Lytechinus pictus: one gene and its partner. The protein of the gene in region 2 interacts with the protein of the main gene of each other region in a biochemical or structural test. Links are inferred from orthologs where the notes say so. Each region holds a gene or a part of one and is shown on either strand. Other genes may lie near its edges.

Region 1 (10,586 bases), on a different chromosome or scaffold from region 2:
GGTTGATTACTATTTTTTTTTGCAGTCAAATGTGTTACCTGTCTCCATCCCAAAAATTCAGGTGGACCCCCCCCCCCAAAAAAAAAAAAAAATCCTTCCGCTGCCAATGGCCAAAACTACTTTTTAAAATCTTAATCATTACTGTTCTTGGGGATATTACCATGATAATTTTACCTATTTTCCATTAATTATTTTATTGGCTGAATTGTGGGCAAAATTTACTCAAAGCTATCAGACTTGAGCATTTTTTTAATTTCCTAAATTTTACTTGATTTTATTTTCTCTTTACAGGTACTGTAGTTGCAACACTGGCCACCAAGCTGTATACACTTCAAATTTCACTCTCCCGTCCCCCAACTTCAAATGAATCTTTGCCCAAGTTTTAGTATCTACATTTAAATGGATTTATGAAATAGTATATTTAATTCATGCAAAAAAATGGGCAAAGAATCATGATTTCAACATTCAAGGATGCCTTCTTTCATCAAGGGTTTGGATTGAAGTAACTCAATTCTGTCAGAAACACACATTTAATGGACTACCATCAAAGATGTAGGAGACAGTTGAAGGATATTTCTGGCCTAAGTACTATTATTTAAGTACAAAATAGAAAGATCCCACAAATCAACAATAATACCCTTTTGTTAAGAAACAATGGGGGGGGGACCTCCATGCCTCTAAATTACATTTTAATTGTTCTATATCAAATTGACTTGCTAAAATATCATATTTTCCTTTCTCTACATTTGTATGAAATATACCAATACATGAATTGTATAGAATATTTACTTTGGGATTTATAATATATATATTTTTTTTAATACACCCCCCCCCTCAATCTCTACTTTCTCATTCTACAATGGGTACTTTTCAGCTCTTCTGCAATCTCTCTTATTCCATCATTTTTCCTTCTGTTATCCAACACTATTTTACTTTGTAATGAGATTGTAAATTGGCATTTTCAGTCCTCCATTTGGTCAATATACTTAAAGAAATTTTTTTAATAATGATAATAAAACAAGTTGTAAAATTCCTGTGAGATTGTTACGTAAAACAAACAAATTGTATTTTCCTTTTAAAGGCAATGACAAAGAGTAAAAAGAAATGTCTAACCTCTCATCCCATTTCACTCCACCCTCACACATACATGCATCATAAAAATATATAATATAGAGGTCCATTAAAAACCACATCCACCCACAAGTGCATCAAACATGATCTCATTTTCTTTCTCTTTCATCTCCATCACCAATTATCTTGAGAGTAAATCAATTTTATTTCTTTCTTGGAATTTTAAAACAACTTTGCAGCAAAGACTGCACTTGAGTGTAGAGTGTAGTGTAGACCAGGTCATAGGCCAGGATGGATATTGACAAGGATGGTAAAAGCAAGTACTGCCAAGTAGCCAGGAAAATGTACACGAAACATCATCGATCAGCTGTTCTAATAGTTTGGTATGATGCCATTGGTAGGATCGGTGCTCAAGCTTCATCTAAAAAAATAAAACATAAATATGAAAAAGTCATTGTAAAGAGATGCACTTCCAGTTCAAACCTATATTGAGCAATATTTAATTTATTTTTAACAATAACACAGATTCAATGGCTGGGCTGAATCAAGGTAACTGAGGCCTATATGTTGCCAATTTCATGAATAACAAAAACAAACTTTGTCTGCACATAACATACCCCTGGGCCCCTAAATTGAAAAAAAAAACATTTAGGCCTATATTGCTGTGTTGGCAACACCTACAGATTTTTTTTTAAAGGTCTCTTTTTCATTATTATTAATATTGTATTGCCAATTTGAAGAGAAAAAGATTATGAAGTGCAATGACATTAAGCCCCAGCACAGCCAAAAGCGATGTCGATGATTCAAACTTCAAAAGTCAGAATGACTCCCCAGATTCGCTAGTCCAACTCCAAGTGAAGTCTGACATTGACAATAAACTTAATTAAGGTAAGTCCAACTTCCATTTATCAATATTATTAATATAATCATTATGGTCAAACAATGAAATTTCCTATTAAATAAATCCATCGAATCACTAAAACCTTTGAAAATAATTATCCTTCCGTTTCGTTTGGCTAGGCTAACTTTATTACGTGTGTAGCCCATAGGCGTACGCATAGCCACCCGGCTCACACGCAATCTCGAACTCGTGAATTTCCTCAAAATCCACCCCGGGACGCCAGGGGAAGCCCCTGTTCCAACCTCAATATCTTAAAACCGCTATGTCATGCGACAAAGTGGAAAGAAAAATCAAGTCCAGAATGAATTCAGCTTTCAGAAAATACCACATTTTCACTTCTATCTTGATGGATATATATCGTATTTCACATAATATCGTCGAAAAATACGAAAATTCAACGGAAAATTGTACTTACCAGTGATATTCCAGACCAATTTGACAGTCAAAACTATTCGTTGAAGCTCTCCCATTGTTCGTTGACGATGACGTAAGTATCCATGATGAAATTTTCATACACATCATACCTATTGGGCAAATCACTTTAAAAATAAGAGTAGATTCATCCACCCTTACATTTGCCAATACACTCGGCAATCTCAACGATAGCAGCTTATCGGCGGCAAAACGGTCCATGCAAAAAAAGCGCCGTTTACGCGCAGCGCCCTCTAGCGTTCATGATTGTACCTACTTAAGATACAAACCACAACTAAGGAGACAAACAATCAGTTGTATAGGCAACATTTATCTCAATTAACTTTTTCTTGTCATTCTTGCAATGTGTGTTAATGCTTTTTCGTGTCTTCTTAATTTGACTGAGAATGAGGTTTTCAAGATTGGCTCCAACACTAGGCCTACACTACAGTTCAATCATTGACCGACACTCTTGTTCTAACATTCATATGTCAGAACAGAGATTACCTAATACGTAATAAAATGTAGAGTCTACAAGCAATTCAATGCGTAAGATGATGTTGCCTGTTTTCTAATTTTTCTGCATAAATGCATTAATCATTTCATATCACAAAAAATCAATTTTGCTGAGGCGAGTGATAAATTGCTCTACCTGAAAAGGCGAGTGATCACTCTCACTCCCCTTAAAGGAGAATGAAACCCTTGAAACCAGCTGAATCCATATCAAAGAGAAAAATCAAAGAAACATATTGTTGAAAGTTTGAGGAAGATTGAATGAATAATAAGAAAGTTATGAGCATTTGAATATTGAGATCACTAGTGCCATGTAGATCCTCCCATCGGCAATGCGACCAAGATCTGTGATATCACACACGTACAACTCCCTCATTACTTTAGTACTTATTTAACTTATATTCTCACTTTTATAGAGTCTATCACAAGGTGAGGTGTTCTCTTTATGAGATGACAAGTACAGAGGTTTCACAACATTATATCATTGATGAATCGTTTGTCATATGATTAGAATGAGCAAAAAGAGATGTTTTGGGGTATATTTTCAGTGTCCAAATGGGAGAGTTGTACGTGTGTGACATCACAGATCTTGGTCGCATTGCCAATGGGAGGATCTCCATAGCATTAGTGATCTCGACATTCAAATGCTCATAACTCTTTTATTGCTAGTCCTATTTTACTCAAAGTTTTGTTGATCTTATTCTTTGATTTTTCTGCTTTCACAAAAGCTAACTTGCTCCAAGAGTTTCATTCTCCTTTAAAACTGAGTCTGTTGAGTTGTCGAAATAGGAATTTTTAACGGCCATTTGAATACAACTATTTAGGTAGAATCTAGGCCTAACGATTAACGTTAGAAACATTTTGGTACAGTAGATTATTATTCTGCAACTGCAACGTCACTCAGAATCAGAGTTAAGCTAATTCTAACATTTAATAATAAACATTAAATTCACCTTTCAAAAACATTTCAAACTCAGTAACTGTATGGTCAGTTCCCCCATGTCTGCGCGGTCTCCCAAGTCTGCGCACCCGCGTATCTGCGCGATTCTAGTAAAAGAAGATACGCAACGAGCACGAACTTTACACATGCAATACATAGACAGGTATTCTTAAAAAAATCCGACTCAAAATGGTGAAAAAATAATGAATTCAGGGCATTTCATGTGACGGCCTCAAAATACAGCCTTTCTAATCAAAATCTCTGAATCGTGTGCAAAGTGAATGAGTGCGCAGACATGGGGTACCATTTTTTTTTTCAATCTGAAAATGACTGTCCAAGGTTTTTTCAAGAAAATCCTATATTTTCTTTCATTTTTTAATGAGAAATTTGGTATACTTACTCTCAATAATATAAGGAACATTATTATCCAAAAGATTTTGTGAAATAAGAAGAAATCCATGTTAAATCTTAACTCAAATTGTTAGGTGCAGACTTAGGGCCCACCATCATACTACTAAGTTGGAGATCAAACACTAAAACAGTTAACTTTTTAGGTCTATAAACGACAATGAACGATAGATCTAACAGTAACAAGTAACACGACTATTTTCTAATTTCCTTGTCAAATTAATTCATGAAACTTTTTTTTTGCCATTGCATTGGCAAATGCGGCAGGCTGAGAATGATGGACATTTGCATGTATAACTTAGTATTGTAACTTTGTTAAATTGACAATGACAGTCATTATTTTTTTCAATTAAAATAAATGACTGAGTGTAACGTAACTTACAGTTACACTATTGTCACTAGTCACTAGGCCTAACTATAACAACTAAACTAAAGTCTAAATTGACAAATGTCATCTCAGCTCAGCTCGGCGCATTTTCACGTCACTGCCGTTCATTCTAATATAAATATAATTATCATAACTCATGTCTATACCTGTCTTACATAATGAATTTGTTGTTGGTTCATTTGATTTGATTATTTACTTTAAGTTTGAGCAGCAGACAGACTGAATGAATGTGGGCGGGCGTAGCCACCGCCGCGCCGCAGCAAGCACACAGCATTTAAAATTATAGCACGGCGTTTGTACCGGCGGAATAGCATACAGAGATACGATAGCGATGGCAACGAACGTCATCACCGATTACCATTCTAGCGTATGGATAAAAAGAGTAGTAACTTACACTTTGTCCGTTAATTCACGGATCTTCCACATAGCCGACTGCATGATGGTGGCTTATGCAAAATCTAGTATTTTTGAAGAAAAAGTGATACGAAATACACAAAATTCAATTAGATGATCAAGGATTACGAATCCGTGATTTGGTGGTGGGCGTCTGCTGTGTACACTTGAAATGGATTTGCCGGTGTGCCGACGTCATCAAATCCGTGACCTCATTCAATGAATATGGGCAGCCCGAAGTTCCACAAAACAAAATGCTATTTAGCCATTTATCAGGAGAGCGGTTCGATCTGTAAGTTTCATCGGTATTGCCAATTCGGTGTATATACCTTCATTGAGTCTAACGCCATTCTGTCCATCAACATTTCGTCTAACAACCGTTTGGTCAAATAAATTTGGTCCAATAATCAGGCTTCGTCTAATCACCATTTCGTCTCATTTGGTCTAATATCCATATTATTTTCATTAATTTTGCCCAATTAACACTCAGTCTAAATGGTATGGACTAAATGGCTATTTGATCAACTGGTTATCAGACGAAATGATGATAGACCACATGATAGTAGACGAGGTGGTCTATTATAGCCGAATTGCCATTAAAGTGCAGTTAAACACATACTTGTCTTTAAGATGTAACTCTCTCGCTAGACAAATATTTTGTTGTATTGATATAATTTAAAGTAAATTATTACGCCTCACACTAAATATTTGTATTTATAGTTGTGAAACATAATTTGTTTGTTTGGTTTTTATCTGTGTGTATCATTAGTTAGTTCGTTTGACTTTCTTAGTATTTTTTTAAATATACATGCATGTATTTTATATTTCCAAATGTGTGACAACGGCTCAAGCATCTGCTTGTATTGTCATACCACTGCATGTCTGCATTGCCACTTTCATATAATCAGTTAATGTAAATGATCATAATTATACTTCATATTATATTTTTAATGTAAAATTTAATGTATTAACATTTTGTGATGGTCACACTGTCGGTACATTGTCATGACATGCAGAAACGAATAAATAAATAAAAAAATGGAAATAAACCGTTTCGTCGCCGTAAAAATAAAAAAGGAAATAATTAATCAAAAGAAAGTTTCTTTCAATCTTATCTACCTCGGTCAATGGATGGCGGGCCATGAAGTTACAATTATTACTCATGATCGATGGGGGGGGGGGGGGCATGCAGGATACTGTCGAAGAGCCACCCACCCTTTCCCCCAAAAAAAATCAAAAGTCACCCTTTGAAGAAAATCGAGCCCTGCCCCTGCCAATCGCAACTGCCCCCCACCCCCCCCCAAAAAAAAAAACCTTTGAAAAAAGAGCCCTGCTCCAGTGCGAATCACAACTCGTCTGCAATGGACAATCATGCCTAGAAATATATTTGGCATTATATTTCATTTATATAGATAAGAATTGATGCTGGTGCTTCCGCAGGTGGAGGGAGCAGGGGAGACCACCCGACCCCACCCCTTTAAGATTTTTCAAAAAAGAGGGAGCTTGAAAAGAGGAGAAAAATTGAAAAGTTCAAGAGGTGTGTCAATGTACTCCTATACTGTATAGAAGAAAATGCTATATGCAGGAACCCCCCCCCCCTCACCCGCTCCCCAAGGGAAAGGTTCCGTGAACTAGATTTTTAGACGGGTCCGGGATTTCATGGGGCAAATATGAAACCATCTGAGCAATTTTTAAATGGCATTTACCAGGACTGCCTTTTCTAACGCATCATGAAAGTTGGTCTGGGGGCTGATCGATAGCTGAGGGAGTCGCTGGAATTCTCTTGACTGACCTTATACATTGCCCTCAACAGAATCATATTAGAAATATATTAGCCCGGTTCTTTTGTAGACAGGCCGGTGCATGGGATTCGATCCTCGGGGCTGGTGGCGGGCCATTCCCCAAAGCAGGGGCGGATCCAGAATTTTCCAAACGGGGGGGGGGGGCACATTTTCCCCAGGAATAATTTGACAAACACAAAAAAATGATTTTCAACAAAAAATATACATTTCGTCCACAAAAAGATTTGACAAGCAAAAAAAAGAAAAAAAATAGGTCTTCACTTTTAAAGGGGGGGGGGGGCATACTTCTGTTTTAACAGCATGTTTAGACTACAAATTTTAATTGTGCCTCTCAAAGGGGGAGGGGCGGGTCGGCTTTGCCCCCCCCCCCCCCCTGGATCCGCCAGTGCACCAAAGTTCGGGTGGGGAGGCCCGGCTGTATCCATCCCCCGACAATTTACGGGCAGAGCATTATGATGAATCAAAATTATGACCAGTATAAGGAGGGCCCTGTAATGATCATGATGGTGGTATAGTGCAGATCAATACGCATGGCACCTCATTTTTTCTGGTAATTTATCTATATGTTTTTTTTTTTTTTTTTAGTGAAACCGTTCCTTTCGAAAACTGTTATAAACAGATGGAAGGGGAAAAAAAATCCACGATGAACGAGAATGAAATGCTATAATGTTGACGTTTTAATCATCTCGATCTACCCTCCCCGGGGGGGGGGGCACTCAGTATATAATGCATAGTGGGTATGTGCCGCGGAGGGGACCCCCATTTTTACACTCAAATTTCCGTTCCAAGGCATAGCATTTTTGTCTTATTGAGAAAAAGAACAAAGAAAGCCGCTCCAAAGCTTCGCATATTTTTCGTTACGCCGTTCCGGTCGCATTGATCCGCTACAATTTTGGTGAAAAGCGGCCGTAGAGCGCTTTTCGACCAGCATCGGCTAAGCGCGAGCGCACCCGGCGGAGGCCGCGCTAGCTGCGTTATGCACGATTGCCCGTTCCATATGGATGCATACGCACTCACAGAGATACGGAGATCCGTTCCGAGGACCCCCGTTTTCACAAACATTTGTAGTTCCGAAGCCTGTTCCGAGGACCCTCCTTTTTAAAATAAGCCCGCTCCAAGGCCCCCGTTTTTTGCCTCGCCCGCGGCACACCCCTACCACTTTTTTGGTCGAGTGCATGCCCCCCCCCCCCGGGCTCCCCTCCCTGCAAACAAGCGCATGTGGTAGGCCTACTTGTGCCCCCCTTGTGCCCTAGCTGGCCATTTACCAATTTTTAAAATGCATTTTGCCCGACAGGCCTGCCTCCCCCCATATCATTTGTTTTGCTCATTACATCACTGAACCCCCTATAAAACCTTTAAAAAACCTTCCCACTGATGAAAAGAACAATATTTGTGTAAGTCATCTCCGCCAACCACGATTGTCAATCGACACGGGATCGACACCCATGTGTATACCTCTAAAAAAACACGCCCATAGAAAAAAAAGTCCGACATTCGGCTTATACAATATATAGAGAGTTCCCATGAGCAAGACATGTTGGAGGGCAAACAATAAGAAACCTGTGCATAAAACCATATTAAATCGTCATTTATGTTTTATCACTATTTATTATATACCCCTCCTCTATTACACACAGCAAAAAAATATTTGTCCCTATTTGCTCTCCATAGCTGTATGTTGTTTTTATTTTTGATAGGCCGACATAGGAATGGTTAGTTTGATCGAAGTCCATTTGATATATTTAAAATAATCTATAAATCTCTTTGATCAAATCAGAGTAAAATATACTGATGCATGGAAAAAGATGATAAATTGAAATTTATTTATCACACCAATAATTACTCGATATTATCTATGCATTTGTTAGAGAAAAAGTATGAATGTTGAATACCTAGATTTATGGACACAAGACTAAAATATTTAATAAACAAAACAAGCCAGCATGCATGATGATGCAGTGCCAGTGATGGCGTATGTATCGGTATCAGACCCAACGTGACTCTGATTAATTTTTGCAAGGCTTAAAATCCGCAGTCGATTCAACAGCTTGTTGTTCATTCATTGATAACTAATAACTGAAGTCGCTACCCGATCTCGAGTAAACAGACAAGGTAAATCGAGTCAAACTTTAAGTCAAACTAGCTCATTTTTTTCACACGCCACAGACAGTACGAACAGGCGCGATCGCTGACCCCCCGCGCCCCCGGGCTGCCCACCGCTTAATTCCGACCCGTGGCCGTATACCCGACCCCAGGCCCACTCAAACTCAATTAGGCATAATTTAACAAGTTAGTTTATGCACTGTTTCGTTACTAACCAATACTCAATAGCCTGTAACACTGGTTTGTTTCGCACAAGATGGGAATATATTACAAACATGCAATTGCTTGAGGAATAAATCTGACTTGAATGGATATTATTATATCACGACACATTTTCCTGCATGCGTTTCACATCCCATCATTCATAATTCATGTCCACATAGACTGATAATTCCGCTGTTTCGGAGGAGTTTTTCAACATTTTCTGATTTTTTTCCCTCCTAGTCCTATTGACGGAGGGGATGCCGCAGAGCCAGACGAAGTCTCAGCGGAGCAAATCCCTGATCTGACAGAAATACATGTAGACCTAATGTCCACACTGCCTGAATAATTAATATTTCTAAGACAAATGACTAAAGCCTAAAGGCCAGTGGCAGTGATTTTATCCATTCAAATAATGATGTAGATCAAGAATATTTCAATATACCATCAGCGTCGTCAGATCAGGCATCATCCAATTAAATGTATCTTTGACAGTAGACAAGTTATGCATGGTTGGATTATTAAAGGTCAAGTCCACTCAGGAAAATAGAAAAATCAAACTAGCATAGTGCTGAAAATTTCATCAAAATCGGATGTAAAATAAGAAAGTTATGACATTTTTAAGTTTCACTTATTTTTCACAAAACAGTGATATGCACAACTAGGTGAGTCAGTTGATGTCCATCACTCACTATTTCTTTTGTTTTTTATTGTTTGAATTATACAATATTTCAATTTTTTTAAGCTTTGACAATAAGGACCAACTTGACTGAAACATATAGTATTAAACAATGCTAATTCCACATGTTCAGGGAGGAATTAATCGCTGTATCACTTGACAATGAGGAGAAAATTAGAATATTTCATATTTCGTATAATAAAATACAAAAGAAATAGTGAGTGGATGACGTCATCAGTCTCCTCAATTGCATACCAACCAGGATGTGCATATACCGGTAACTGTTTTGTGAAATCAAGCGAAAATTTTAAATATCATAACTTTCTTATTTTACATCCGATTTTCATGAAATTTTCAGTGTTATGCTTGTTGGATTTTTCTCTTTTTATTCAAATCAACTCTTTGTTGGGGTGGACTTGTCCTTTAAATAATCATTTTTAATTGTTTTCAACTTTCTTTTCTTTTTCTTTATTATTTTTTTACATTTTTACAGCATGCCTTCCCTTAAGAAAGTAGCCTGTGACATGGCAACAGTTGTCCTGTCAACACCAATTGGTCATGTGACAGTGACCGGATGTGATGTCGGTGTGCACAAGATTAGTTTGACAGCTGCAAAGACATTGCCAAAACAGAGCACAAAGTGAGTACGGTATTACAAATTGTGGGAGCGGGGGGGGGGGGGCTTTGCTATTGGTGTGCTTTTGAATTTGCATGCCAAATCATACTATGTTTTCTCTTTGAATGTGATTTCAGCGGAAGAGTTGTGAAAAAAGCTG
Region 2 (10,641 bases):
CCTCCAGGTGAATCCAATCTCCTTGAAAACTATAATGGCTATTGACACGATACTAACCTTCTCTTCAATGGCTTGCAGAACAGACATCCTGATAAATTATACGATTAGTTGATCTCCAACTCTTCTCTTGAAAGTCTGTCCTGAAGTCTCCCTATCCTACAAGAACAATAACAATAATCACACATTACATATTACTTACAATGTACAATAGCATACAGTATGGTTCAGGATTCCGTTCCGTCACGGTCCAAAATCCCACTTTATCCGACAGGACGGAAATAAGGTATAACTTTACTTTAATATTTGCCAGAAATTGTAAGAAATTAGTTTTAATGGTTTAGTAGTGTCAGTGTACTCCTAAATTAATACCCTATGGGGTCCCAGCCTCCCAGCTTATAATGTCCAATATAACTATCTGAAAATTTATGAAATATGTGTCGGAGTGCTCCAAACTATTATTTTTTTACAAAAAACTTGAAATTTGAACTGATGTTTCGCAGATAACCTCAAGGAATACGATAGGATTGATTGTAGGCCCGTTTCGAGTACAAGTGTACACGCACGGTCAAGTCAGTGCATGTGTACTGAATCCCATGACCGTGTACACGGTAGCATCTGCATAAAACTTGCGTGGGAGTTGTAAACAAGTGAACAAGCTCACAGCCTCACATTGATTCTAAGTTCTCATACGCTACACAACTTTTAATCACTATAATTCCACTTTCATACCCGCCCCTAAATTTCTGTACTTGTGCAAGAAGCCATAGCGCTCACTCACAAGCAACCACTAAGTACATAATTACCTAGTGAAACAGTAAAAAAGATCAGCTTAAATTTCCCTCAGGACACAAGTTTAGCCACACACTCACTCGCATTCAATTTACAGCTCACATCAACGTGTTTGTCGATTCTTATCGACAGAGAATTTTCTTACCGATAACAGCACTAATATTCATAGTACAAATTTTGAGCTTTTCAATGAAAGGGAAGATCAAAGTCAAATTCACTTTGAAATTTCAGGTTTTGGTTCCCAACTTCTGGCTCCGACCCAAAAATATCCAAGACTATTGAAAGGGGAATTGAGGCCCACCGATGTAGATACTGTTCTAAGGCCTTGGTGTTGGTGGCCTTAAATTCATTCATGCCCTGCTAATGTGAGTTTACAAAAATTATCCAAATCACATTGACAACTCAACACCTAATGAGCAATAACTCAAAGGTTGGATCATACATGAAGATGCTTCATTTTTAAGTGATGATACCTATGTACAACTGTTATAATATAACTTCAATTTAATAATAATAAAAATAATAATGTCATATTTTACCCAGGGTAGCCACTTCAGTTCTGAAAACTGTTCTACCAGCCAGCCCTGCTTAACATGATAATATTATCATTACACCGGCTTTAGCACAGCTACCTTTATCATTTAGTCATTTACTTTTGAAATGACATCCTTGTAATGCCTTCAGATTATCCAAATCAGTTTTCTGCCAAAGTTTAAAAGTCGAAGTCTTGCTTGCATTATGCGATTTCCAGACCTAGCTTGTTCACAACTAGGGTCTTGAGTAACGCGCCCAGAATTCAACATGTGCCGCCATTCGACATGGCAAATTCATTTCACGAGCCAGGACAGTCAATCACCACAACACACACCCAGCGTATACATGAGCGCGACGGGCGATTTCGCCCCGATGACAGCCAAAATCACGGCCTAAAATTCCCTCAAAATGCATGCATTGGGGCAACCATTCTTTCTAGTGTTGTCCCATGATCTGTTCCAAACAATTCAAGATTTAGAAAATCAATATTCTAACTGTGGCAGAAGAATATTTGCATTTATTGCACACATACTTTTTACCCCTAAAAAGTAGCCCTTCAAATGAAAAAAATATAGAAAAATAGCCCCTAAAAAATCAAAATTATTTCCTATCCTGCACACACCAATTCATTTTATGACTTAAAAACACATGTGGACGTTGAGATGGGTACCCCCGGGATATCAAATTCTGATAGTTTACAAAAGTTAATCATAAAGGTTCCTTTGTAAAATGAAAATAATTATATGCCTTTTTATGATTCCTAACATCAAAATATAGTGTAAGTAGCATCAATTGTCTAAATCTTTAGATACCGAAACATACTTGACTAATTCTATGCATGTATATGTAATAAAAAATTATCAAAATGTTGATAAGAGTCTGAAAACAAAGGATACAAGTCCAATTATGGATGGCCTGACGTGGCAGTATCTTTATAGATTCAATCCATTTTACTTCTTCAAAATGAATGGTTTTGTGGCGTTTTACCAACAGTTTTATAGCTTCTGGATATTACAATTACTGATCTTTCCCACTTGTTTTGCAATGTAATTATAACTTATATGATTGACAATGTAAGATTATGATTTTCAAATTTTGAGGTGCTTTTGCATTTCATAGTCTACCCACGTTATGCCACTACGTCATTAAGTTCGGTATGCTCGACCTGTAATGAAAATCATAAGTCAGAAAAAATTGGAACCAGTGGGATTCGAACCTTATTTTTCTGACTTATGATTTTCATTACAGATCGAGCATACCGATCTTAAACAAATGGGAGTAATGCCAAAAAAATTTTGTAAACAAATTATAATTTCCTCCTATTAAAGCCTCTTCATTTACTATCTATTGTCCACGCCAGACGGCATTCGAATACTAAAGAGGATCGAGGGTATTTGATTTCCAGTTCATCTTGGCTTAGCCGTGAACCAGAATAGGCTGGTGGTTAAGTCGCTGCCCGGAAAGCAGTAGATGGCAGGTTCGAATCCCACTGGTTCCAACTTTTTCTGATTTATGATTTTCATTACAGATCGAGCATACCGATCTTAAACAAATAGGAGTAATGCCGAAAAAAATTTGTACACGAAGTATTATAATAATTTTCTATAATCACGTATTAAATTTTACTTGCTACATAATAATTTTTATCTATAAATTGTTCTTCAAAACGGCATTTTGTAACATCGCTAATTGAAGGTACGTCATAAAGAAGCGGTTCAAGGGTCAGGCCTATTGTATTTGCTTTGTTGACAAACGGATCGAGGGATCTACACGAGATCGGTCTGGTAAGAAACCTCTCATTTATGCCATTTATAGTGAATAAAATTTTTATCCCCTTATATGCATTAGGCGTATGAAGGTTCATAGATAAATAAAATTCACCCGTACAAACCGATTTCACCCTCTAACTACGGATTTCCTAGGGAAATCCATCCGGGTGTGTAGGTCTCGCTTATGCGAAAAGTTCTCTCCTTCTACCCCCGTCTCGATCAGCCATTTTTGTTATGAATCGTAACAAAATGGCCGATCGAGACGGGGGTAGAACTAGAAGGAGAGAACTTTTCGTTTTTTTGAAGTTCCAGTCTGTGCCTCGATGTCAGGAAACTGCCACTCGTTAGACCTTCATCCATATCATCGCGGTAAGTGCATAAATTCTGTTTTCACTATTCATTTGGAGAAATATTTAGACCATAAATCACGCTAGTCCTGTGAGTATGGTCAAATACACGGTAAGCCCCTGGGCTCCGGCCCGCTGCGCGGGCCGGAGCTCCCTGGGTTAAGCAGAGAGCAGTTCATTATTTCTAATTCTATTCAAATTGAAAATAATTTAAAGTTTTTTAAACAACCATTATAAGGGAGAAAATATTTGGAAAAACAATAATAATATGGACAGTAAACTAATGAAATAAGAGACATGATCTCATCTAACAACATAGCCTTAGGCTGGCTCTTGATACTGATGAACTCAACACTAAAAACAGGAACACCGCACCACCACTCATCATATACACGGAACCTCCTCTCTCGCAGTAGAGAGCCTACGGGTTCGAGTGAGGATCGGAGCAGGCGTTCACTATGCACCCGCTGGTCTCCGCATATTCACACACAGCATTCGCATCATCACTTGCTCGGTGTTCGACGCTTAGTGCCATGTTCAGCAAACACCAGTCAGAAAACCTTATCAAAATCATTTCCAATCTTAAAATCGCATATCGAATAAAACATAGAAGTACAAACTACTTACCCTACCACCAGAAAATACAAAATTGTTATTTATACCGGCGCTATTTCCCTATTTTCCTCGCATTATTACACTCGTGTGTATTGCCAATATGGTCGACATTGAACCGAATTGCTGGCCAACTGCAGAGGATGTTCATACGCTGATTTGAAAATTACATGAAAATGATCTTCGATGTTATCCCACCATTCTAGAATATAACAAAGAAAAATAAAAATAGATTTGATATCGATTTCAATTTAAAAGGAGTGAAAGGAGTAAAATCTGAGAACTATTCTTTCATGCGGACGTACACAAAAAATATTCGTGGCAGGGGTGACGTCACAGCGAGATACTCCGCGCGCCCTCTCGTACCCTCCCACTTTGGGGCGTCGCGAATACCCTCGAACTATCTTGGGCGGCGTCCCTGAGCCCCCAGGCCCCATCCCCTTCCGAAGCGAGGGGCGATCGAGGGACCATGCTGACAGCCTTCCCCCCCCCCTCCCGCTTTTGTCCTTGTCAATAATGTCAATAATAAACATAGGCCTACAAACACGTGACGATCTGATGATGCGCTTATGTGTGTGTCAAAGTGGCGCGTACGTATTATAGGATTTTTTTTCCTGGGGGGGGGGGCACTGGGGGTCCTTGCTTTTTCAGGGGGGCAACATTCTTTCTGTGTGTATGTGTCACAAGGGCAGATCCTACTTTCGCCAATAGGGGATAGGCCCGAAATTATCTTCACCTATATTTTCCCCGATCAGTCAGTGAGTCACTTCTTAGCTTTATTCTTATAAAACGAAATAAATATGAAATAATATCATACGCCCTATTCTTTTTTTTTTTAGTGCGAGCGCGAAGCGAAGCGCGAGCGATTTTTTTTTAATTTCATGTATTTTGTCCTGAAAATTTAACATTCTGGGCAATGTTTATGATCTTGAACGAAGCGTATGGCTTGATATAGTTACTGTGAACGCCAAGCGCAAGCAGAAATTTTTAATAAATGTTCTATAATAATAGTGATCGAAAAGGGCTGTAAAGGACTGTTTACAGTTACCCACGAAGACGGTACATATTTCAATAATGGGAGCATGAAGCGCGAGCTAAAAAAATTTGACATTCCGACCTAAAAATTGTCATTCTAAGCACTTTTTGTAATCATAAATGGGATAGGTATGTAACTAAATAATTGATGCGAGCGCGAAGCGCGAGCAGAAGAAATTTGAGATTTTAGACCTAAAAGCAGGATATTCTTTTCATATTTTCTAAATCATGAATATGGTTAATTGGTTATCATTAATAATGCGAGTGTGAAGCACAAGCAGACAATTACTGATATTCTGATCTGAAACTGGCTAATTTAAGCACATTTTAAATTAAAAAAAACATGCAGGCTATCGCGCATGTTTTAGATTTTGACCGAGAATCTGGGCATTCTGAATACATTTGTTTAATCATGAAGATCAATAATGCAAGCGCGAGCTGAAAACATTTGATATTCCGATCTGGAAAAAGGTCAATTTAAACACTATTTCAAGCCCTTTGTATATACAGTTGTATATAGGAAATTTGTGAAGTAGATGTGGATCAGACTTAATGAATGATGCGAGCGCGAAGCACGAGCTGATATTTTTTGTTATTATTTTAACAAACTTGGACCGGTACATTCTAAGGACATTTTGTCATCATATGAAAATGGTGACTATCTTCCTATTATTCCTAAGCTTGTCGATATTCCATTCTGAAAAGACGCAATTTGGTTATTAGGAATTCATGAAAATTATTTTCTTATGTATTAGATCAATAATGCAAGCGCGAGCCGAAAACATTTGATATTCCGATCTGGAAAAAAGGTCAATTTAAACACTATTTTAAGTACTTTGTACAGTTGTAGGAAATTTTGTGAAGTAGATGTGAATCAGACTTAATGAATGATGCGAGCGCGAAGCACGAGCTGATATTTTTTGTTATTATTTTAACAAACTTGGACCGGTACATTCTAAGGACATTTTGTCATCATATGAAAATGATGACTATCTTCCTATTATTAAGCTTGTCGATATTCCATTCTGAAAAGACGCAATTTGGTTATTAGGAATTCATGAAAATTATTTTTTTATTTATTAATCTGCGTAATGACAGCGAGGAAGTTGTTAATTTTAAGGCTTAAAACTGGAAATTTTAAGCATTTTGTAATTATGAATACGCATTACAATGGTTGATACATCTTTAACAATTAATGCGAGCGCAAATCGCGAGCTGAATTTTTTAATAAAATGTAATGAAAAGGGGAACTTGTTTGGTTATATGCGTATCAAAAAAGTTTACACTTAGAAAAATTCCTGTAAAATTACACATTTGTAATATCTTGAAGATTTTTCCACATTTTAACATTGGTACAGATCCATTTAAGCAAATGACGATAACTGTCGAAAAATATTTCCGCTTGAGTGAGCACCTGCACCTACTTTTGAAAAGTTAGTGAAAAATGATTGAGCATAACTTTGAAATAGTTATGCGAATAAAAGTAGACCTTAATCACGAAGAACACATGGAATTTAGCTAGTAAAATTGGTTTGAGGATATCTTTTACCCTTTTTAACTTGTTTCCTTGCCCAAAACACTTCGAAGAGTGCATTGTGCCCCACCCCATGCACTCCCCCACACACCGAGGCATTCGTGACGATATTTGCTTTACACTGAGCTGTGATTTACATGAAATGGCTTAGGCTTGATTTTCATTTTGTTAATCATTGTCAAGCTTGGGAAAAGTGTGTAGAAACAAGTATTAAATGAAAAATGAAATGTAGACCCACTTTAAATTATAAAAACTTAGTGAAAAAATGCTGGAGATGTCTTATATAAACTTTTGTTCAGATTCAGTTATGTCCTCAGATCCAGCTGGCACAAAAAGGGTAAAGGTTGTGCTTACTAAGTGTTGAAATTTCAATTTGGTTAGCACAATTGTTACAAAATGCTTGAATGTATCCGATTTATTTAAATTGTCTAAAAGTGCAAGGGAAATGTATGAGAAATGTTTTGCAGGTTAAGTTTGATTTGGCCCTTTCTCCCGGGGGGGGGGGGCACTTACATTGACGAGTGGATACCATGCGCGACCAAAAAAACACGTAAAAAGGATGTCTTTTTCAAGATAGGGCACGCTACGTACGTAACTTGATAAGGGTGTAAAAAACACAAAAATATTGAAAAAGTGGTATCTATTTCGCTCGGAAAAATATACGTGTTTAGGGTCAAATATGCAGGGATGATAAAACAAAATCAAAATGTTTTATAAAGGATGTCCTTTTTGCCCCAACACTATACGTGTTTAGAGTCCGATTTGCGCGAGGTGTGGAAGGTGTCTAAAGGTAAAACCGACGACCGACGGACGCGTGACATAACAATAAAATATCTCTGTACTTGTTTAGGGGTTCATTTCAGGGAATACTTGCTAAGAGTATCGTTTTGTTTCCAATACTTGTTAAGGGGTGCATTTTCAGAATATGGAAAATACATCGCTGTACTTGTTTAGGGGCTCAGTTCTGGGAATTGCCAATAGTCTTTGTTTCTAATACTTGTAAAGGGTAGGGTTTCACACGCCAATACTTGTTAAGGGGTGCATTTTCAGAAGATGGAAAATACGTGTTTAGGGTGCTTTTCAAGACCCCGTGGTCGCGCATGGTATCCACTCCTCAATGGAAGTGGCCCCCCGGGCCCTTTCCCCTTGCACAGCGTGAAAACTAGCATTTTTGCGCAAACAGATTTCTGCGAGCTTTACAAAAATGGACAGTGCTCACTCAAGTGTAACATTCGGTCAAAACTTTTACTTTCATTGGATAGATGAGACCCAAACCCAAGATTATATGTGAAAAAATTACCCACATGCTGTATATTTTTTAATTTTCAGGGATTTTTCAAAGTGTAAACTTTTTGTTGATACGCGCTGTAGAATTAATATAGAGTATTACTCACCAATCAAAATGCGAGCGCGCAACGTTAACTTATATAGGCATACGTTTGACAATCACATCTGAAAATTGATATTTTGATAACTTTATGGAATACACGAAGACAATCAAATAATGCGACCACGCAGCGTGAGCTTAAAGTGTTGATAATTTATGTAGACCATAAAACGGACATTTTACAGAGCACTTAAATTTGTAAATTAAAAAATAAAAAATAATGAAAGCTCGATGTCCGAGCTGAAATATGTTTTGTATATTGACTTCAAAACTTGATAAGCTCCATATCAGCCTATTGAGCAAGATGTGAATCTTATCGAACAGGCAATTCGGGCGTGAAGCTCAAGCGAAATTTTTATATAGTAACATGAAAGATTTTTTTTTTTTTTGCAAGTCTTTCCTTTACATTATTTTATTCACTCGTCTTCCTCCTCTTATTTTCCTCTTTTTTCCTTCTGTCTTTCTCCTTTTTCTTTTTTTCTTTTCTTCTTTTTCTTTTTTCTTTTCTTCTTTCTCCTTTTTCTTGCTCCGCCAATTTTTTTTAGGGGGGGGGGGGGGGCACCTGGGGGCACATCAAATCTCAGGGGGGCATGTGTCCCCCAGGCCCCCCCCCCTTAGCTACGCCACTGGTGTATCTTTTTTGGGGGGCGTGGTCAGTCCATCCCCCTACCTCCACATTCAAAACTGTACCGTGGCCCCGACCCCTGGCATACACATGCTTGACCAGAAAAATATATATATATTGAGGCGCTAAAACATCACGAGGAAATGGATGACAAATCCCTATGACAGTTTAAAAAAATATATGTATATACATATATATTGTCAAACCCATAGACCTACAGTTAAGTTGGAAAGGGAGTTCGCTTTTTCAATAATTTGGTTCTCATCGGTATAAAAAGGTTATCGACTCCATAACTGTCAACCTTTTCCATATTTCTGAAAATTCTAACAAGCATCATGCACTTAATTTAAGAAAAATATAATTATTGAATTTTCTGGCAAGCCCTTACTTTTATGGCCCTATTATCTGATTTATATAAAATAAGAATAATTTAAAAGATGCATTGGATTGAAATGAGCAGAGGTACACGGGGGCACCTACTATTGACAAAGCTCCGTTGCCAATACTCGTAATTAAACCCCATATAGGCCTATTTTACAAATTAATAGCTTTTGTTTTCAGTATAATTATTTGTCCATTTTTTTCTCATATTATTTTCTTTTTCTGAGGTGTGAAATGTGTATAGAAATTAAATGAGACAAATGTTAACACCTCTCCGCCTCTGTAAAGGTCCACAACATGGGTCGGAAATATTGTACCCCTATCTCCTGGAGGCAGGGGCGGATCCAGCCTTCACCAATAGGGGGAGGCGGATTTTTTTCAGCCACATTTTCCCGATCGGCAGCTCGAAGTTGATTTTTGTTTGTTTCTTTGAAGGGTTGTCTTATTTTTTAGTCACTTCTAAGCTTTATTCTTATAAATCAACATAAATATATAATAATCTCATAAGCCTTTTCTAAATAAAGCGAGCGCGAAGCGCGAGCTTTTTTTATTTCATGTATTTAATTGTCCTAACAATTAAACATTCTGGGCAATGTCTGTGATCCTAAACGAGATGTGTATCCAACTATATAATTTTGACATTTCTACCTGAAGAATATAAATTCTAAGCACTTGTAATTGTGAAAAGGATAAGTATATAATTAAACAATTGATGCGAGCGCGAAGCGTGAGCGGAAAAATTCGAGATTTACACCTAAAAATGGGACACTCTATTCAAGTTTTGTCAATCATGGAAAGGATGAGGAATTTGAAACATTACTACATTAATACTGTGAGCGCAAATTGCGAGCAGAAATTTTTTGATATTCTGGTCTGAAACTGGATAATGATTTAAATAAAGAACAAGCTGCGTATCTGAACATGCGCGTGCGTGTTTCAGATTTCGACCAGAATCTGGGCATTCTAAATAACTTTTTTAATCATATAATCATAATATAGGTATCATGTTAATTCATTTCTATAAACGGTCCCTTTCAGGCTGTCATATTTTTTTGAAAAGAAGTATTTGAAAAGCAAAAAAAAAGGGGGGGGTCCTCATGTGCACTTTCAAAAGGGGGGCACATTTGGGTAAAAGCGGTGTATTAATACATTACAAATTTTGATTATGGCTCTCAAAGAGGGGTGGGCGCTGGACGGCTGAGCCCCCCTCCCCCCGATCGGCCAGTGGGGCCGGGGGTCATATTCATATGATTTCCCCCAATCGGCTGCTGCTAGAAGATCTGAAAGTAAGTGATATATGAATACTTTGCAGCTTTATTGATCGGTCCTAAATTCATTATGAACGCCCGTCAAGCGCCTGATTTATAATATTGTATTATTAAACCTGAGAACGGGAAGTATTAAGCACAGTTTGAGTTCGTGAGCATGGTTAAACACATATAGCTAGCGCGAGCTGATTTTTCATGTACTGACCTGAAAAATCAACCTTTCAAAAAGCAAGTTCACTTAAAATAAAATGAAGAAAAAGAAGACTGGCATAATGCTGTAAATTTCATAAAAATGAAAAAAAAAAGTTTTGCTTAATGAAAATCCATATTTTATTGTTCGAAATAAAATCTGTAATAGAA

Evidence for each region. The genes of interacting proteins can lie anywhere in the genome.
Region 1: the proteins of AP-1 complex subunit gamma-1-like (region 2) and clathrin interactor 1-like form a complex in vitro, tested with the Homo sapiens proteins (2 studies listed by BioGRID). The link is inferred for Lytechinus pictus from reciprocal best matches to the Homo sapiens genes AP1G1 and CLINT1.

What each region holds. Positions count from the first base shown.
Region 1 is NC_087256.1:25,891,585-25,902,170, reverse strand, and holds the start of clathrin interactor 1-like, read right to left. Parts: upstream 5,226-10,586; 5' UTR 5,071-5,225; coding exon 5,027-5,070; intron 1-5,026. Other genes in the region: methylated-DNA--protein-cysteine methyltransferase-like, read left to right, coding at 10,305-10,450. UniProt on the Homo sapiens protein: Binds to membranes enriched in phosphatidylinositol 4,5-bisphosphate (PtdIns(4,5)P2). May have a role in transport via clathrin-coated vesicles from the trans-Golgi network to endosomes. Stimulates clathrin assembly.
Region 2 is NC_087246.1:45,989,975-46,000,615, forward strand, and holds the start of AP-1 complex subunit gamma-1-like, read right to left. Parts: upstream 4,381-10,641; 5' UTR 4,067-4,380; intron 157-4,066; 5' UTR 88-156; coding exon 58-87; intron 1-57. UniProt on the Homo sapiens protein: Subunit of clathrin-associated adaptor protein complex 1 that plays a role in protein sorting in the late-Golgi/trans-Golgi network (TGN) and/or endosomes.